2 linked regions of the Lytechinus pictus genome follow. Each later gene encodes a partner of the first gene's protein in a complex. Links are inferred from orthologs where the notes say so. Each region holds a gene or a part of one and is shown on either strand. Other genes may lie near its edges.

Region 1 (5,362 bases):
AAATAACTTTATTATTTCTTGATGAAAATTAGAGTTCTTGGTATCATTTGAAAGGTCTTTTTAATTTATTGATGTTTGATGAATTTCATTTTTTTTGTCACCTGTATACCTCTGACATTTGAAAGGAATTAGCGGTAACTGCGGTCTACTCCAAGGTACAATATTTCTGAATTTTATATATTTTTTCGTAAATTTGGATGTAATTTCTTTTTTATGATGTGACATTTTAAATAAAAAAACAAAACGATCCGAAAATCGGGTTTCCGCCGAATGTTAGATCTATCATCTAATGTTACTGCTAATACGTTGTCTGTACGTACAGGCCTCCAAGCTCTTCAGTCTATGTATTGGTGAGTGGAGCCAACGCAGTTCAGCGGAACAACCAAAATACAGACACTGAAGCTTTTGGTCTACATTTTGATGTGCCAAGTCTGCGCAGTCCCTAGCATATGCTAGAGCCGGACTCTGATAATTTTTCATGGCAAGACTTCCATATGTCCCTTCTATTAAAATTGAAAAAAAAATATGGAGGTTTATCAAGAACTATCTAACATAGTTCTATATCTAAGAGATTTAGGAAGGAAAAGTTGGATACATACCAAAATATGGCTTTATTCCGTCAAAATCTTGAGTGTGTGTAATTCCTAATGGCATCGGTTTATTTAGTTAGAAAAATAAATACCCAATACTCTTGGAGAGTAGACTAGTCGTAATATCGGTTGATATTACAACTGGGCGTTTTGGCGTGCGCCTGTAATCCAAGCTGTGTGGGGAAGTTACAAATTGATGTAGAGGTTCGAGCCCTGGTCGCGTCTTTCGGATGGTGACGTTAAAGGTCGGTCCCAGATGTACATAGTCATATCTGATTGATACACGTCTAACAAAACTCAAATACACACACACACACGATATGATATCCAGTTTACTTTTGTTTTCTCTGTTGCAGCTTACTGTAGCAGAAGAAAATCAAATGTGCTGCAGAAACAGAATGCATGCAAAAAGAAATGAAACGAAAAAAAAGAAAAAAGGGGGAAAAACAATAGCAGGAAAAAAAAGGAGGGGGAGGAAAAAGAAAAGAAAAAAGAATTATCACTTTAAAAGGACAAAAATACAATATGTCTATATAAGAAGAAAAGAAAAAAATGCCGGAAAAAAAAGAAGCAAGAAAAGAAAAAAGAGAACAAAAGAAAAGAAACGAAAAAAAAAGAAAAAAGGAAAAAGAAAAAGAATTTAAAATAAGAAAAAATAAGAGGGAAAAAGAGAAAAAAAGAAGAAAAATAACAAGAAAAGAAAAGAAAAAAACAGAAGAAAAGAAAACAAGAAAAGAAAAGAAACGGGAAAAAAAATAAAAGAAGAGAAAAGAAAAGGAAGGGGGAAAAAAAAAGAGAGAGAAGAAAAAAAAAGGAATGGGAAAGGAAAAAAAAATAATAACAAGCTATTGAAAATGAACAAAAGCTGTGGCAAAAATAGTCAATCCTGACTGGTTGCCAACCAAGGAAAGAAGAAGATAACCATTATGAAACCCATGGCTTTCAGCAATTCCTGCTAGCTCGGTGAGTAAGGCGACAGACTGGAGATGCCTCGATATATGCAGCGAGAGGTTTTGATCCAAGTTCCAACTGGAAGTAAGAAGACAAAAAAAAAGAAAAAGAGAACAAAATGAGGGGGTTTTGGAGAAGTATTTTTTTTTTAATTAGTGGAGGGGACATATGGAAGTCTTTCCTTTTTCATATTTTTGTCATTGTCTTTTTAACTTTATCATGGAGACTTGACACAGCCTCACGTAGGCTGCGTGTCAAAGACGATAAACAAAGAGCCAAGACCATTTCGCTGAGGAAGTCTGCAGTTTTAGCAGCCAGAAATTTTGATTTAGACCTAGCTCTAATTCTTCAGATTTATTCTTTTTATTTGTCGAAAGCAATACCGGTAGTTCAACTTTTCCCTGCTATCTCTTGACATTTCTCTCTTTACAGGATTGCCTGTCGAGATGGAATCCGACGCGAGGTTTGCTCACCTTCTTCAACCCATTAGGGATCTAGCGAAGAACTGGGAGGTTGACATTGCATCACATCTAGAGGATTATGTTGCTGAGGTATGGCAAACTGGGATACAGGGGGCTGTTTCATAAAGCTGTTCGTATAAAGTTAAGAGCAACTTTAAGAACGACTGGTGATCCTTTCTTGTGGTAAGTGATATTCACCATCAAATGGTCATTGGTGATTATTCAGTATGTAAGAAAGGTTCACCAGTTCTTAAGGTCGCTCTTACGAACAACTTTATGAAACCCACCCAGTTTATATTTTTTTTGAAGGGGTATAGATTGTGGAGTACCGCATTGGTGACGTCACAAAAAAAAGTTGTTGCACTTCAGCATTTCTTATACCATTTCGGTAAGGTTCTAGGAAATTTGCTCCAGCGACAATCGCTCTGCTGTAATGCAAATATCACACAATAATGAAATGACCGACTTCCACCCTGGATTTAACACTATATCCTATCCTAAGCCTAACATAAAATGCTATTGCAACCCTCACCCTAATGCTATATCTTGGACGAAAGTAAGCCCCGAGCAATTGTCGCCGAAGCAAATGTCCTGTCACCTTTAATAGGTACATGTACATGTAAAACCCAAAATTGGTGCGAATCGGTCCATGGGTGCCCAAGATATGACCTCATTCACATTATTAGCCCAATTTAAATCAATGTATTATTTGTCTGGATTTGATTTGACTGAGGTAATATCTGTTGGCTTCCAGGATGGACAAATTCCCAACTAATGCAGATGTACTGACGTATATGTATTTCATCATGCTCTACAAAAATGTGCCTGTATTTCTGAAAGGCAGCTTGAGCTAAAGCCGTGGTAAAAAATGATAATAACAACGCGCCTCGGAATAGAATATTTCTAGATGGCGCTATATAAATGCATATTGTTTGTTTTTATTATGTTGATCATGAGTGATAATTTGCTCTATATTTCTTATGTTTACTTATGAAAAAAGATGTACATTCTCGATTTATATTCATACAGGGTGTTTCTAAAAAGGATAACCAAGGTTCAAAGGTCAACTACATGTATATCAAGACTACATTATATATTCTTGTGATTTATTTTTTACATGACTGAGTAACTCATCAACTTCCATTTGACACCTTGCTTTAATATTAAAGTCACAATTGTCGCCAGTCACAGAGTTATGGTCAATCGAAGACAAATTGTAAAAAGCCTACTTTTTCTGAATTTCGGGTTTTAATGTACGTGCACGAAACCCACTTTGTTGTAGGGTTTTGGTTTCATCAGAGGGATCCCTTCAAATTTTGGTGAAATGTTATTACTATTCTGATATTTTTTTCGAGGGAAAGTTAGATAACTGGTGTCTACATGTAGCTGCACTTTTGGTCGAACACATCCTTTGTGACTTGCAGGCACATGTTTAGCATGAGATAGATGTTCTTTGTTTTAATACAGTCCCGCAATGGTATTTGTATTTTATTTATTTAATCACGGTTAAAAAGCCTGCTTTCAGCTAGAAGCTGCTTTTCAGCAATGTCGTGGACAAATGATAACAAATAATATCAACATAAATAAACATACAAAAATAAGAACGAAAAACAAAATATATCAAAGCATGGGTAAAATACAATTGGTAAAAATAAAATTGGAGTAAAAAAAAAAGAAAAATAAATAGACGAAAATAACATACAAATTTATGTCAAAATTAAGCATTAAAAAATGAAGGTATATAATGCAGTATCAAGGGTGATCGGGGTGGAGAATTAAATTAAGAAAGTGATATGAGACGTGCAAATGTAGTCACGTTTTTTTCTAATCGGTTAGAAGAGCAATGCAAGACGGTCAACGTCGAAAGGGGAGCTATTATACATGTACTGTTGAAACGTTGGAATATGTTGGTGCAAAAGGTTTGGATGAATAACTGGTTCAACAGTATACAAATAGCGAATAGGCATGAGTGCGATGGTGCGAGATTTCGCATGAGGTGAATAGAGCGTTTCTTTCTTTCACCGAATGCGAAATCTCGCACCATTGCACGAATAAGAATATTCGCTATTTGTGTTGTACAACGCCTCAGAATTTAGCGAAAATATGAAAAAACAAAGAGTTTATCCCTATAGTAATCTATGAAAAGGGAGCAAAAATACCGAAAGCAGAAAGCAAAATCACACAAGCGCACATGACCTTGGGCAGCCTTGCGCATTTAGCCAGCTGGCTTATACGCGTATTGTTCATTTTTACCTAGCGCAATGAATTAAATCGTATTGTGACGTCACCTCCTAAAGCCGTGCAACGGTACATTTTGGACGGTACATTTTGGATGGTACGTCTTTTGTGCAACGGTACGAATGTTTGACATTCAGCCTCCCATTTGCTCGCGTACAACAAGCTAAGTAGGCGTTGTACAATGATTGCAGATAGGCAGTTGAAATGCCAATGCCAGTCACTCACAAAGGTGAACAGATGGGATAGCATTTCTCTATGAAGAGGGAAATTCTACGATGAAACCCAAACCCTACAACAAAGTTGGTTTTGTGCATGTACATTAAAACCCAAAACTTGGAAAAAGTAGGTTTTTTACCCTTCACCTTCGATGGACCATAACTCTGTGGCCGATGACAATTGGGACGTGAGCAAGGTGTCAAATAAAAGTTGATGAGTTACTTAATCATGTAAAAAAAAGAATAAATCATATAAACAGGGTAGTCTTGATGTAGAAAAAACAAAAAAAATCGATATTTTATTGTTCGAAATAGACATGAAATGAAATACTCTGAAAATTTGCTTTGCCCAATCATGGGCCCGGCAGCCGCTGTGCAGCGCCAGATCGATGAGGCTCTATTCCTTTTAATCGTTGAACGCCAAACAGGTGAGCAGCAACTCCCATCTTTTAACGTCTTCTGGTCTGACTCGGCCGGGGTTCGAACCCCTGACCTCCCGGATGTGAGACAGACGCTCTACCAACTGAGCCAACACACCGGTTGGCCCAAATAGTTGACCTTCGAACTTTGTTTACCTGTTTTTAGAAACTTCCTGTATTTATATGCAATGTCATTGTGATGTTTCTTTCATTTCTGTTTAATACAAATGAACTAGAGCACAAATTCAGATTTGAATCTTTTTGTGATTTTTGTTTAGATGGAGGTGATTGTAATCAGCTTCGATGGCGGTTCTACCACAATGAACTTTGCGGAGGCAGCGCTTCTAATTCAGGGTTCAGCCTGTATCTACAGCAAGAAAGTGGAATATCTCTATGCCCTGGTCTACCAAACCTTAGATCTGCTTGCTAGTAAAAAGTAAGTTAATTTGCAAGTTTCTACACCCTTCAATATTAAAATCTTACCGTGG
Region 2 (3,600 bases), on another chromosome or scaffold:
TGAAGGTCATGGGGGAGGGGTGATCCACCCTTTTTTATCCCCTGGCTGCTACATAGGTAAAACAAAATTGTTTAAAAAAACCCCCAGATTTTAGGGTATTTGAAATAAGCAGTCAGATATGCATTATATTTGATAAGATAATGTTTTGCTATGTAATATATGCAACCTCAAAGGTAATGCGTATTTTGAATAAAGTATACTATCAATCTAATCATTTTACATATTGATTTTGGTGTGTTCATACTTGTTTACATCCATCTAGGCATTGATCAAGAGAAAGAGGTCCTTGGATTTTTAAACAAAGTGTGTGAAAGAGGCACAGACTCACCTTCAATGAATAAAGTCATGAAAGTTTATATGTCTTTAAAGACAATTGTCACTTAGGAAAATGTTTTATGTGGTAGTGTTATTAGAGAATCAAAGGCCAAGTTGATTTCAATGAAAACTGAAAGTCGCAAAAGCATAACAATTGAAATTGACAGATGCAGTGGTACACCTGTACATCTTGAGCTGTACGCAGGCTCATGTTGTGTATGGTGTAGTGGTTTTTACTCCATCTCCTAATCAGCGAATCATGGGTTCAAATCCTACTCCAGGCTTTAAATTATATTGAATTGGGATTAAAACCAATCATATCATTTTGGAACAGATTTAAATATTTGTCATTTAAAGGATAAAATGCATAAAATTAATGAGTTTATTTATCAGAATATTACCCATTGTATACTTCAGAATCATGATCTGTGTGTGTGTGACTTTAATTCTCACTATTTTCTCCAGCTTTTAACTCTCCTCTTTCTCGACTGGCCGGGATGTTGTTTTCCCCTTCTAATTCATACAATTGATGACCTGTTATTACCAATTCAGTATTTTGGGGATATCAAGTTGGTCCATAGATCTAGAGATCTTTAACGAAGTTAGATGATATAGTCAAACGTGTCCAAGTGCCGGTATATGGGTTGTCCGGTGGGGTGACTGGACACTTCAAATTTTGAAGCCTTCTTTACTTTGGTACCATGTCAGAGTACTAGTACCGGTACTAGGTCCATGGCCACACAAAAAATAAAAATTCAATAAGTTGCAATCTTCTTCACTTTTGTTCTCTATAATATTGCTTAACTGTTCTCACTAAAAATTGATGGAATTTTTCCCGTTAACTTTCCCAAATGTCTGTTTAAAATCGATTGTCCGGACACACAACCTGTCCGAACACACAAAAACTGGGTACATCTTTAGTGATCTGATTATGGTCTGGATTAGTAGACTACTTCATATTCCGAAATCGGTAGTTTCCGGACAATTTCGGAAGAGCGCGCGGTTTTTCGAACTGTTTGTAATTCGCTTCACTGACTTGGTCTTGGTTGGAGGTAAGCTTCAATTTTCCTTTAAAAAAAAGAAGAAATTACTTTGTAACGGATTTGTGTGTTTAAAGTATGTTTTCTGTTTTCTTCGATGCTTTTCCTTGGACAAAAATGTTATCGTAATCAAGGCAGAGTCTGAGTGAGATCGATCGAGAGTTGTGTTTCTTCTCCCAAAGTTGTTATTTCGGTCCCATCCGTTAGATGCCGTGTTGTGTATTTTTGTTTAAACAAGTGCACGACATCCGTGTTGTAAAACTTCAAAGTCAACCGCATTCTTGGTGGGGGGGGGGGGGGGCGCTCACACTAGTACGAGGTTAGTATGCTATACTAACCTCGTACACCGAACCGTGTTTGGCCCTGGATTTCTATTCTAGTCGGCAAACATCGCTTCATGTTCATTACACTTTTTTACAAAATACAGAAAAAATATTTGCCGAAACTCCTCGCTACTCACCGCGGAGTCACCGGTGAGTAGCCATACAAATGTTACAATCGCTCCTTTTTCTTTTTTTTTTAAATAAAAATCATACAAAGAAGAGCAAATTTGCTTACCTTGGTCTGGAAAGTGACTTCGCATGTCTCTTCTAGTCTACGGAAATAAAACTTATTTCCGTAGACTAGAATTAAGTAGAAGAGACATGCAAAGTCACTTTCCAGACCGAGGTAAGCAAATTTGCTCTTGCCGCCTCTTCTTTGTATGATTTTTATTTAAGGAAGCCCGATGACGGATGGTGGCATTAATAAATTTCACAGCCTTGATTCAGCTCCTCTGTAATTTTGATAACTGTGTCTGAATAGTAAATTCTTTGAATGCGCAAATCTTATTACTTGATTAGATATGGGCACCAATAAATGAAATACCTTCAAAAACATAATTCAAGATTATTATTGCCGATGATTACACTTTTTTGCAAATAATTTAAGGCCAAGTAAAAAAAGAAAGTAGTTGATCGTCCGGGTTTTTCGAGAGCAGTGATGAGGGATGTCCTTACTATTTGCTATCTTACTATTTTTTTAAAAACAAGGAGACATTTTTTCGGCCTGTTTTTTTTACATTGGTGATGAGGGAGGTCCTTACTATTTACTATTTTTTTTTGCTATTTTTTAATCAAATGATTGTCATGCCATGTCAGGCTTGATTTAGGTGATCGACGCATGCTTGAATATTAATAATGAATTATTAGAAACATATATATGCATTTTCCGTATCATATAAATAAATATATATTCAATTAATTGGAAATCTATGGAAAATATATGATGCAATAAAACTTCATTGATGTATTACTGATGTACTGTATTGTTGTAAAACAAAATGTTCATGTCAAGTGAATGATTTAAACATTATTCTACATTATAAGGGTAAAAAATACTTGGGGGAGGGGGCATTTAGAAAAAACTTTTATTAAAGCCATTTTTATTACCATGGAGACATGTTTACTTTTCTAGTTAATATCTTTTTTTTCCAGGGCATGGTTTCGCATCGCAGCTTATCCTGCTTGTATATTTATGTTTAATATTGTTTATTCAATTGCTATTCATTTTCTTTATTAATATCAATTGCTAAAGGATTTTTTTTTCCAGGGCATGGTTTCGCATCGCAGCTTGTCCTGCTTGTATATTAATGTTTAATATTGTTTATTCAATTGCTATTGCCTATTCATTTTCTTTATTAATATCAATTGTTAAAGGAGAATGAAACGCTTGGAGCAAGTTAGCTTTTGTGAAAGCAGAAAAATCAAAGAATAAGATCAACAAAAGTTTGATTAAAATAGGACTAGCAATAGAAGAGTTATGAGCATTTGAATGTCGAGATCACTAATGCTATGGAGATCTTCCCATTGGCAATGCGACCAAGATCTATGATGTCACAGATGAACAACTCTCCCCTTTTGGACACAGAAAATATACCCCAAAACATTTCTTTTTGCTCATTCTAATCATATGACAAACGATTCATAAATGATATAATGTTGTGAAACCTCTGTACTTGTCCTCTCATAAAGAGAACACCTCACCTTGTGATAGACTCTATAAAAGTGAGAATATAAGTGAATTAAGTACTAAAGTAATGAGGGAGTTGTACGTGTGTGACATAACAGATCTTGGTCGCATTGCCAATGGGAGGATCTACATGGCATTAGTGATCTCAATATTCAAATGCTCATAACTTATTATTCATTCAATCTTCCTCAAACTTTCAACAATATGTTTCTTTGATTTTTCTCTTTGATATGGA

What was found. Proteins that work in one complex are often made in the same cells at the same time.
Region 2: the proteins of condensin-2 complex subunit H2-like (region 1) and condensin-2 complex subunit G2-like are in contact, whole or in part, in a cryo-EM structure (PDB 9F5W), measured with the Homo sapiens proteins. The link is inferred for Lytechinus pictus from reciprocal best matches to the Homo sapiens genes NCAPH2 and NCAPG2. Residues at the interface, in NP_689512.2 of Homo sapiens: Pro316, Trp317, Gln318, Ser319, Leu320, Pro322, Phe323, Asp324, Ser325, Leu326, Glu327, Ser328, Lys329, Pro330, Phe331, Lys332, Lys333, Gly334, Arg335, Pro336, Tyr337, Ser338, Val339, Glu344, Gln360, Asp361, Phe362, Gln364, Trp365, Tyr366; in NP_001268861.1 of Homo sapiens: Lys248, Leu251, Gln252, His292, Ile294, His295, Leu296, Pro297, Arg299, Ser300, Val302, Lys340, Ala341, Arg342, Asn343, Ser344, Glu345, Val346, Pro388, Tyr389, Pro390, Arg393, Gly425, Glu426, Ala428, Phe429, Asp430, Thr431, Ser432, Arg437.

The regions. Positions count from the first base shown.
Region 1 is NC_087253.1:9,891,853-9,897,214, forward strand, and holds the start of condensin-2 complex subunit H2-like, read left to right. Parts: upstream 1-1,954; 5' UTR 1,955-1,987; coding exon 1,988-2,092; intron 2,093-5,152; coding exon 5,153-5,310; intron 5,311-5,362. UniProt on the Homo sapiens protein: Regulatory subunit of the condensin-2 complex, a complex that seems to provide chromosomes with an additional level of organization and rigidity and in establishing mitotic chromosome architecture.
Region 2 is NC_087247.1:41,091,583-41,095,182, reverse strand, and holds the start of condensin-2 complex subunit G2-like, read left to right. Parts: upstream 1-1,271; 5' UTR 1,272-1,367; intron 1,368-3,600. UniProt on the Homo sapiens protein: Regulatory subunit of the condensin-2 complex, a complex which establishes mitotic chromosome architecture and is involved in physical rigidity of the chromatid axis.